Linked DNA regions of Caenorhabditis elegans. The protein of the gene in region 2 purifies or fractionates together with the protein of the main gene of each other region. This does not show direct contact. Each region holds a gene or a part of one and is shown on either strand. Other genes may lie near its edges. The genes, in order: K08D9.4, svh-1 and htp-1.

Region 1 (3,756 bases), on a different chromosome or scaffold from region 2:
GGGGGGGGGGGGAAATAATTTTATTGCATTGCTAAACATTGAAGATATAACCAATGGGAAATAATAATCATTTCAAATAACCCAATACAGGGGTGGTTGGCAAACTATTTTTTCCGGCAAATCGGCAAATTGCCGGAATCGAAGCTGCCGGCAATATACCGCAATGAAATTTCCGGCAAATCGGCAAACCGGCAAATCACCCAAATTGTCGTTTTGTACAGTTTTTTTTTTGGAAATTTCAGAATTTCAATTTTAATCGGCAAAATTGTACGCATTCTATGAATGTTCCTACATCTGTTTCGAAAAGTACACAAATTCTATGAAATTATCTGAAGACAACGGGGAAAAAAATTTCAAAAAGGCGCAAATTTAAGTGTTTCGGTTTCATAAATAATTCCCTCTAAACACTTCCCGCAAATTGGTGTTCGGCAAACGGCAAATCGGCAAATAGCCTGAATTGAAAATATCCGGCAAATCGACAAACCGGCAAGTTGCCGGAATTGAAAATATCAGGAAAACCGGCAGTTTGCCGATTTGCCGAGTTTGTCGACAAAATTTGCCAAAATTGCCAAATGGCAATTGCCGCCCACCTATTGCCGGTTCAGTATTTTAATGAAACACTTCAAAATTTTAACATTTTTCAACATTTTCAGTCAAATTTTTGGTGAAAAAAATTCGAGAATCGCTGGTTTAAACCCTCACCAATAATTAAAAAATATTTGAAACACCATTGAATCCGCTCGTTGAAATTTTTAAAAGTTGTTTTTTTTTAATTTTTGAAAAATTTTACTACGATTTTTTTTTTCAATTTTAGGAAATTCATGTAGTTGCTTGAATTTTTTCCTTCCTCTTTCTGAATTTTTTTTGTATTTTTTGAAAATTCGGAAATAAAGGCTGTCAAAAAATGTAATTTTACAATAAATTGTATTCTCGCTTTTACATATTGAATTGAATTGAATTTATTACGATTGAAATCATGATAATAAACGTAATAAACATACGATAATAAACATACAGAAAACTAATAAACATACAGAAAATGAATTATCATCTGAAAAGTTGATTAGTTGGTACATGAATGTGCGGGTGTCAGGGAGATGAATAATGGGTAAAAGTATTAAACATGCATAGGACATGAGGTGCCAAAATAAGATTCATTGCGCAAGATTCATTGCGAAATAAGATTCATGTCCGAAGTTGACTTTTTTGGAATTATCGTCCTTTATTACATATATTGGTAGTTTATCTCATTTACTTTCGTTGATATAAGGTATATTTAAAGCCGATAGGTAACCAATTTCGATAATTTTTGGTTCCATATCGGCTAATATAACATACATAACATACATAACATGTGATATAACATACATATCTGAAAAGTCCCCTATTTTTGACAAAAAAACAACACCCAAAAATACCAGAAATGTCAAAAACTGCAGCGACCGACATCTTGTGAGTTCGCTTTTCCTGATATACTTCAATTGACTGGTTTAAAAACTCAGCTATCGATGGGCAAATTTTCGGCAAGTTTTCGGCATCAGGCGACCAAATTGCAAATCTTCGCAGTTGGCCAAACGTATAATTTTGTTGAACTCATATTTTAGAGCTTTTTTCAGTTTACAGTGTAATTTTTGCATTTTTCTGAATGCGAATTTTTTTTTCTCAAATTTTCACGTCTTCACACAGTTGCAACTCAATGTCAATTGTTAGACGGTTATTTTTTGATTTTCTTTTGGCCAGAAAAAATTGTCCAAAAAGCTTGTTTTTTTATCAAATGTAAAAAAAAACTCATCTAATAGTAAAGCTAAAATTTTATTCCAGTAGGGTCCAGAGTACCCGATGGGCACACCGGCCACACTCCAACTACACAGCTGACCCGCGCTTCTCTCCTCTTTTTCGTTTGGGTACGCAGTTGACGTCATATCTTCTTTCTTTTTTTACATGCCAGCTTCATGTTGTGCTTTATATTTTGTCTTTTTGATTTTCCAGCAATCGTTGTATTTTTTACGTTTCTAGTACAAAAATGGAGAAGGTCAGATTTTTTTTTCTAAACACAAATTTGATTAAATTTGATAATATCTCGTGAATAAAAATGTTTCAAATTGGTGATTTATGATACAAATTCTTTCAAGAAAATCAATAATGATTATGTCAAAAGGAGCATTTTCCACGCTACCCGCCACCGAGCCGAAGTTGTATTCAAAGTTGGTGCAGTTCCAAACCAAAAGGAGAAGATTGGTAGATTTAAATGCAGTTTATGAGGTAGGTTGACACTGAAATACTGATTTCTCAATTTAAAAGTCAGTTTTTCAGGACTCATTATCATCTGGCTCCCCATTGGGTACTGTGATTGGATTCCATGGAACTCCAGGGTCTCACAGGGATTTCAAGTATGTCAGGCAGCGATTGGAGCACATGAATATTAGATTTATTGGTATTAACTACCCAGGATTCAAGCAAACTCCAGGTAGTTTCAGTTAATTAATAAAAAACCATCAAATAATTAAAAATAAATTTCAGCGTACCCAGGTCAACACTTCGGAAACTGGGAACGAAATAGTTACTCAGAAGCTCTGTTAAACGAGCTAGATGTGCCGGGAAAAGTGATCATAATGGGGCATAGCAGAGGATGTGAGAATGCACTGATAACAGCAGCTAATCGGAAACCTCATGGACTAGTGATGGCTAATCCAACAGGGTTGAGGATTAATAAAGGGTCTCGTCCGAAGGGAAAGTTGGAGTCGCTGATTTATTTACATAAGAAATTGCCGAAAAAGATTGGAGATGCCATTTTGTATAATTGTGAGTATAAGCAAAATGAGAAATATGCCATAGGCCACTACCAAAAAATGTTTCAATGTGGTGTTTTACTACTGTTGAGGCTCGTCAAAATGCTTGAAAGTTGGATTTTTTCATAAACTTTTTCATTTTGGGAGCGTTTTTGATTAAAAAAAAAGCAAAAATCTGAAAAGTTTTCTGGATGTTGCCTACCCCTAGAGCAATTTTACGAGCTTCAGAACAATTGGAAAAATGTCCTGTAAAAATAAAATTTGAGATCGGAAATTTTCTAGTTCAAAACGCAGCAAAATTATTGGTAGTGGCTTATTTAAAGTGTAGTTTTGGCAGTTTAGGAATACGTATTTTCGTTAGACCTAAGTTTTTAAAAGTGGTGTACCGAAATCTGAGACTTTACTTTTTTAGATCCAAAATGACCCAAAACTACCAAATTTCGTAATGAGATGTTCTGAAAATTTTTCAAATAAAAGTTATGTCGGCTCAATGTTTTAGAAAAAACCCGTTTTTGAGAAACTTTCAAAACATCTCATTATGAAAGTCGATGGTTTTGGGTCATTTTGGGTCTAAATAAGCAAAGTCTCAAATTTCGGTACTCCACCTTTAAAGGATGTTCGAAATTTTCAGGGATACTTCAGATCTTATAAATTATTTCAATTTCCAGTAATGAAATTGGTTGGATTCAAAATTCATGATGGTGAAGAAGCCGTGGCGGTTATTCGAGCAATTATGAACTGTGACCTGGAAAAGCAACTGGAATACATTCTGAAATTAAATGAACTGCCCACAAAGACTATGATCACTTTTGGCGGAAGTGATCATTTAATTGAAAAGGAAATTGTTTTTGAAGCACTCAAAAAGTATCAGGGACTCGCGCATTTTGTAAGTTTTGTGATAGAAAAACTTGAAAAATTGGAAGGAATTTCAGAATTTCAAAGCGAATATCACAGAATCCGAAAAGCA
Region 2 (3,756 bases):
AAGTGAATGTGTAGATGAGACACTAACTTCGTCATATTTGTTCTCAGTAACTAAATTCTTAAAATCTTCCATAAATTCTCGTGTCGCCACTTCTGCATGAACTTTATGCCCACAATTTTTGACACAAGCATCCAAAACGAGAAGAGTGTGATTTACGACATGCGGATTTTCATGTTGCATACGTTTTCTGATTGCTTGGAGTGATGGTTTTGCACTGAAATTTATAATTTTAAGCACTTCAGATATTGATTTCTCTAAACAAAAAAAAACTTACGGAACTTCTCCGGATCTAATCATATCTGTACACAATATAATTCCTTCCCAATTTGGCTCAACCAATGTACTGTCTGTCGCCTGGTCTAAATTATTGATTTTTTAGTACTCAATATATAATATTTTAATATTAAAAACTTACCCAGAACTCGTTGAAATTTTGTAGCCATTTTTTTATTCTGAAAAGTTAAACATTGAATTTCGGAAGATCCTTTTAAGAGAGAAAGAAGTTATAAAAGTTATAAAAAAGTTACCATTGCGTGCTGGATCTTGGAGTTAAAATTTTTAGGAATAATACTAAATTTTGATTTTTTCTTCAAATGTCCATTTACCCCAATTATATTTTTATTCATTGTTTTCTACGTGAACCGGGGGAAATGAAAATTCGATAAAACTGGAAAAAAGGGAAACATAAAAGGGGAAAATAAAAAATAAACAAATTCGATGTGGATGACTAAACGATAAGGTAGCTGGAAAAAAGAAAGAAAAACGGTGTGTTGTGAAAGAATTGATTGAACTGGGTGGTGGACCAGTCGACTGGCCAGTTTTGCGTAATAAGAGGCGCAGAGATAACATTCCTCGTGTGGACTCTAGGCCACGGCCATTATTGGCGAAAAAACTTTGAAGTCTAAATTTGATTTTAAATTAAGAAAATATCATTCGGCTGGTTTTTTATTAGCTAAAAACTAAAATGAGCCAAAAACTATCGATTTTTTAATTTTAAGGTTCAAAGCGATTTAGAGGTAAATTTATAGAATTTCTTGAAATTATAGAATATATGAAAAACTCTACATAATTGGAATACATATTATAAAACTATTAAATGAGCATTTAGAGGAACGGAAAAACTTTAAAACATCGTTTTTTATCAATTGCAACTTAAAAAAAACAAAAGAACAGATTCAGAAGAATGCGCGTGACGAGACAACGTTTTGGAAAAATTGCATGCGCCTTTAAGGTTACGGTAGTCGGAAAATTAAAATTTCAGGCCTACTTATTGCATGAAATTTCAATTATGATTTCAGGAGTACGATCTTTGAAGAAAAATAGTACTGAAATTTAAGATTTTCAAAAATTATTTTAATATATCGAACCAACTCTCAAGTGTCCTTACCTAATCAATAAAAACCATGCGAATGTAGAATATAATAGTGAGATCTACGAGGAAGTGGGAAAGGTAGAAAGCGGGTTTTCTTGAAGACAGTGTAAACTTCACTAAATTCATAGACGCTAACTTACAAGCCTGCCCTCTTAAGAAAAAAATCTTATATTGTTTCAGAAACTTCAATTTTAATTTAAAGTGATAAGTTTTGAGAAAATTTTTTAATCAAAAAAATCACCTGGTAACGACGCGTCATAATCGAAAAAATGAAGTTAAAATTTGCGATTACACAAAGTCAAAATTTAAATTCCATGAAAAGGATGTCCAACGGAGCATGCTTGATCTGGAGCATTTATCTATATAGAAATATCGTCGTCTATAGAACCTATAGGTTAAGTTTCCGGAAAAATTCATTACACTGCCCAAAAATAACTACGCCAAATTAGCAAGTTTTAGAATTTTTCATCAGCTCCTGCAAATTGCTTCAAATTCCCAAAAACAACAATCCCAATCGAAACTCCATCTTTTTTCCATTCTCCAAAGTCCCGCCCTCTTTACCAAGAACTTTTCTTCGCGCACTGATCATTTTTTGTCTGTTTCTCGTTCACTCTCACAGTCCTTATTCACTTCAAATTAGCAATCGAGATACACTTTTCCCTCTGTATATTCCATAATATATTATTGCCTAATTGACACCAAAACGAGATTTGAAACAAGAATTAGTTGAGGAGAAAAGTAAAAAGAAGACGGAAATGTTTCAATGTATATCGTCATAGTTACTATGAGAACAATACTATTTTTTGGAATCTTTTTTATTTTTATTTTTCAATGTGCTAAATGTATAGAATTAAAGTGAGTTTTTAATAAAAAGTGTTGGCAAATAATATGTCCTTATTTAAATATTTTTTTCATTGACTCAAAAACTAAACTATGATACTCGGTGGTTTTCAACAATTTTTCCACTTGCTTTAATCCACCGTTTAATATTAAAAGTATTGATTCAAAAACATAATCAATTTTTCCAGAATTTTCGAAGATCTCTTAGAAGTTCGTAGTCAATCAGGTCTCTTCTTCCCATTATGCTCTAAATCATTTCATCAAAAATACGGAGAACAAGCGTGTGCATCAATTTCCTCTACATTTTTATCTTATTCCACAGTTTCACTTCAACAGTATACATATTCAGTTGGTTGTACCACATCCGTTTGCTTCACTTTTTTGTCATCTTTTTGCAAAACTGGCGTCAAAGTGTTTTGTTCACCTAGTTGTAAGTCTCTATTTCAGAAGATTATGAATTGCATTTTTGAATAAAAACCCACAATTTCTAAAGCTTTGTAATTATTTCAGTATGTGCTTCTGGAACTCTTCAAATTGGAAGCAAATGTCTTTCAATTTCAACTGTCCCTGTTCAAGGATACTCTGAAGCAAATTATTATTGTAATCCAGCTACATTGATATCTTCTTTAAAACCAACAGAGATTGAATCAATTCGAGACACAATTTTGCCAACGTTTGGTAAGTAATGCTGCCCTTTTCAAAATTGCCTTGGTTTTTATTTACTCAACTGATTTTTTGGGGTGTTTATCGGTTGGGACAACAAGGTGAGTAATTGCGACGTGGCACTTCCTTACACTGTCTGTTGACTTTTCACTGAGAGAGTGACCTCTCCCGAAAAATGTGTAATCTCGAAAACTCTTCCAGCTGATACACGACTATTTTTGACTTCCGGACTCCGACAGGGAGCAACATGGAAATGGGGGAATGGAGATACAGTAGAAGTGAGTTGCTTTATTTTAAAAATACCTTGGGTTGCGACTTTAAAATTGTTTAACTTCAAGGAAAAATAGATTTCTGTAAAACGTACAAACCGATTATAAAAAAATTTATTTTGAATGCTCTCCTAGTACGATTTTGGTTTTTCAGCAAGAAGTAACGGGAACTGGACGTTGTTTAGCTTTACAAGCAGGCAATCTCGTGGCAATTGACTGTGATTCTGAAGCATACGTTTTTTGTGAATCTGGAAGAGAATGTATTGCGAGGGACAAAGAATATTCTGGAACTGCAAACAGAACATCTGATGGGAAAATGTGTCTTATGTGGAATGACCCAACAGTATTATTTCGAAGAGAAAGGGATTTAGAGATTTTGAATCACAATTTTTGTAGATTTGTGAATGACGCTGATGGAAAGTAAGATCATTTCGATAAAGTGAACAGGTTTTTTGATAATAATTTTTCAGAAAATCAGCGACGCCAGTTTGTTATACGAAACCAAATGAATTATCCCAATGTTACATTCCACCATGTCCAGAAAGTTTTAATGATGTCGTCCCAATTGAATCTGGTGACAGTTGCCCAATTGGTTCAATATCATGTGATAAC
Region 3 (3,561 bases), 2.8 Mb from region 2:
ATTAATTCGCCAAATCTGAAGACTCCACTTCAAAAGAACATTTTTCTCTCGATAGGTCTCGCCACGATCCATTTTGTTGGCGACAGGCGCGACTGCTCTTTCTTAAATGAAAATTGAGATATTTGTTCGCTAGAATGTGATTTTTTAACAGAACATACAAATATATGGTTTTCGTGGCGAGACCAATTTAAAGTAGCACGCGCCTTTAAAACGACTACAATCAACCTGAATACTACATAAAATTGTTTCAGACACTGCAATAAAAAAGCTTTTTCTGATAAATTTTGTGACGTCTGACATTGAAAAGTAGAATAAACTGTGTTTTTTTTCAAAACTTGAAACCAACAATCAACAATCGCCACGTTCCCTTGCAAACCACATAAATTTTAGCAAAGAACCTTGAGAAAAGTTATCGAGGTCAGCATGAATGGTGAATACAAAGAGAATTTCGAGATTTACCGAAAGATACTCGGAGCGGTATCCAGCAGAAGAAGAAAAGAGAGAATCCTTTTTAGATTGGTCAATTGTTGAAAAATTCTGAAATGCACTGGAGTATCTTGAAAATGGAGTCATGGGAAACATGCTATTTAATAACACCAGTCGATTTATTTATGAATGACTGTAATTTGAATAAAAAAAACTAAGGATACAATAATGGAGCAGAAAGGAAACACTCAAGACAATAAAACATTTTACACGATGATATAGAACATGCCAAGTTACAGAATGAAGCTATAATCTATTGAAAGCTAGGAAAAAAATTATTTACAGGAACGAGAATATGGAGACGATCTGGTTTTGCTGCCATCGGCTCCTCTGCGAGTAGTTGGTCTCGTCTGGATAGGCGACATTTGTGCTTTCTCGAGAGACTCCTACAATTTTAAATTTTTTGTTTATATGTAAAAAACTAATAAACTAACAGTTATATCATCCACCGGAGAAGTCTCGTTTCCTCCTTGATCGTTGACAGATTCAGTAGTGGCCTGACTAAGACTTGTGTCACTGTCCTCCGAATTAAACGATTTATACAGCACATTCACTGGATTGAATCCATGCCTATCGGAAACTTTGTCCAGGTGTCGCTTGAGAGTCAACTCTGCTTCGTATGAATCGGACATCAACATGCTCCAGCATTCCATGTTTGCAGCGTGGCATCCTGGGCGCAAGTGACCAATGGTTGCCGATTGGATATCATCAGGAAGTGTGTAAAAAGTGGAAGAATCTTCGAAGCCATCAATGCGGAAATTGGATGGAGCATCGTTTGTGTACTCCAATCGAAAATTAGCCGTGAATTCTTCTGGCAACGGTTCGAGAACTTTTGTGCAGAGGAACTGAACACTGCGAACAATCGTCACCATTTGATCTCGTACGCTGTCGCCACCCTCGTATACAAGTTGAGCAAGCTTTGCGAAGTGAGGATCTTCCTGGCCATTCTTGTCAGTGCTCAGACGAGCAACCACGCCGCCATTCTCAAAATAAATGAACTTCATAGAGAAAACTTCGATGGCTTCAAGATCTCCTTCATTATTTGTGATCACGAGGGAGACTTCTTTCAGAAACCCATCCTTTGTTGCATCCCCAGCATTTCGAAGTAGTTGAGCGATTTGGTTAGACCGTGGGTTTCTGAAGCACAGCGTCATGCATTTCAGCTTTTCTGAAAAAGAACATTTACTATAAAATGTGATAAGAAAAACATTTACCAGTGATGTAATTCTTCGTGAAATATTCTTGTCCAAGAATGTTACGGTTCCTAAGAACAGCCGAAAACGCGACGTAGATTGCTCTGGTCATGAAATTGGATGATCGATCCGGGTCGCTGACAATCCTTGGGAAAAGTTTGGACCATTTCTAAAGATGAAAAAAATTACAATGGCCATAAAACCATGAAAAAAACCTTATCATCAATGGAATCCGCCGATTTGTTGAGCGATTCGTCGTAGATGGTTTCCAAGGGCGCCATCTGCAAAAAAACAGTCTCATTTTTAGGCAAGAGTTTGTAAATGTGAAATATAATATAATTCCTCGAGGAATACTATGCAAAGAAAGAAAAAACCCAATGACAAGCTTAAAATGATACACTAAAAAACGAAAAATTATTTTCGAAACTAGGAAACGATATTTGAATTTTAAAAAACACAGAAAATCGTCAATTTCGAAAGCCTAGGAAAGAATTTTAGGATTTCAAAAATGCAAATAAAATGCTAAATTAAAGGTACATCGGATTGGGTAAGTCCATTGGTCTCGCCACGCAATTACAAAAGCTCAAAACTATTCAAATAATTTTTGACTAAATGCAGCTTTTCCTTTTATTTTAAAGTAAATTTTTCATTCATTTCAAAACTGTCAACAAATTTGATTACTAGAGGTAATTTTAAAAAGTACTATTCTTTAAAAATACGCAAATGCAAGTGAAATTCGCTAACTCGTGGTGAGGCCTAAATTTAGTTTACTGACTGCTCCTTTGATTACTGTAACTTGTTTGCTATTTTTAAAACGGTCTGAATTCTCATTTTTGGACGAGTTTGCCTAAATTTTCTCCTTTCAAGCTCAAAAAACGTTTATCATTGTTTTCAGATGCCAAACTATCGAGGACGTCATCAAACGAGACAGAATTGGAGTTCTAAGCCAAGAGAAGAGCACTCCCCGAGGTATTTGAATAAAAAATGTCATTTTTTCGAGTACTTTCTTTTCAGCAAAGGCGCATACAGGGACAAAATCTGGAGCGGTCCAGTCAGTGAGGTCGCCAGGCAACAAACGTATGAAACTAATTTTTAAATGTTCCTAATTTACTTATTCTTCAGGGTGTACGACTGGGTGACTACAGGTGCTTATTCCCTTGGATCGCCAGACTCGTGGCCATCTTATCCGGACGAAATCATAGTGAGTGCTGTAGTACACCGAAAAAAAGTTAATTTTTCTTGTTTTAGCTGATGAACGAGTCCCGAAATGCTCAGACATCCCGCATGTCGCGTCGGTCGGCTACTCCCGGTCCAGTGAGTTTATTTTCTTCATATTTTCGTTATGAGACAAACCTTGGTTTCAGAGATTGTCACAAGATAGAAGGACAAGAACTACAGCACCCGCCGTTGCGCCGATTCCGTTTCAGAGGGCACAGCCTCGAGTAGAAGTGGAGAGACAAAGAATCGACGAGCCTGTCGCACAGGACCTGATTATCGATGATGGGGTACCAGAAAGTTTCATTGAACATTAGCTGTAATGTATTTTTGTAGAACGGTACCAACAATTCGAACGATTCGAGTATTTGTGGCTTTGTGGAGGAATCCGAGGAACTCGTATATCCACAGTGAGTATCTAAATCAATTAATTAACTGAAATTTATCATTCCAGGTGGGTTTACTATCTGTACCCATTGATTCCTACCGCGCCTAACTGCAACAACGAGAAGTCGTACAAAGAAGGTGGCAATTGGTACAACTCTCCATGAATGATCTCCCTCTCCAGCTTCTCTCAATCTGTCATATTTCTTATGCCTGAGTTGCTCCTCATTTTAAGAATGTATCATTCTCATATTATCTGTCATATTCTCACTCCCATCATGCC

The links.
Region 1: the proteins of svh-1 (region 2) and K08D9.4 fractionate together in Caenorhabditis elegans (co-fractionation; one large-scale study listed by BioGRID). This does not show direct contact.
Region 3: the proteins of svh-1 (region 2) and htp-1 fractionate together in Caenorhabditis elegans (co-fractionation; one large-scale study listed by BioGRID). This does not show direct contact.

What each region holds. Positions count from the first base shown.
Region 1 is NC_003283.11:3,198,800-3,202,555, reverse strand, and holds the start of K08D9.4 (AB hydrolase-1 domain-containing protein), read left to right. Parts: upstream 1-2,132; 5' UTR 2,133-2,142; coding exon 2,143-2,262; intron 2,263-2,313; coding exon 2,314-2,467; intron 2,468-2,520; coding exon 2,521-2,802; intron 2,803-2,895; exon of another isoform or gene 2,896-2,916; intron 2,917-3,457; coding exon 3,458-3,675; intron 3,676-3,721; coding exon 3,722-3,756.
Region 2 is NC_003282.8:8,204,614-8,208,369, forward strand, and holds the start of svh-1 (Serine protease svh-1), read left to right. Parts: upstream 1-2,000; 5' UTR 2,001-2,135; coding exon 2,136-2,227; intron 2,228-2,400; coding exon 2,401-2,642; intron 2,643-2,722; coding exon 2,723-2,890; intron 2,891-3,076; coding exon 3,077-3,153; intron 3,154-3,298; coding exon 3,299-3,564; intron 3,565-3,614; coding exon 3,615-3,756. Other genes in the region: hgrs-1 (Hepatocyte growth factor-regulated tyrosine kinase substrate), read right to left, coding at 28-214, 275-359, 416-443.
Region 3 is NC_003282.8:5,389,598-5,393,158, forward strand, and holds htp-1 (HORMA domain-containing protein), read right to left. Parts: upstream 1,961-3,561; coding exon 1,895-1,960; intron 1,849-1,894; coding exon 1,701-1,848; intron 1,655-1,700; coding exon 921-1,654; intron 873-920; coding exon 762-872; 3' UTR 592-761; downstream 1-591. Other genes in the region: ZK616.5 (uncharacterized protein), read left to right, coding at 2,575-2,648, 2,694-2,756, 2,802-2,880, 2,928-2,993, 3,044-3,184, 3,231-3,304, 3,349-3,445.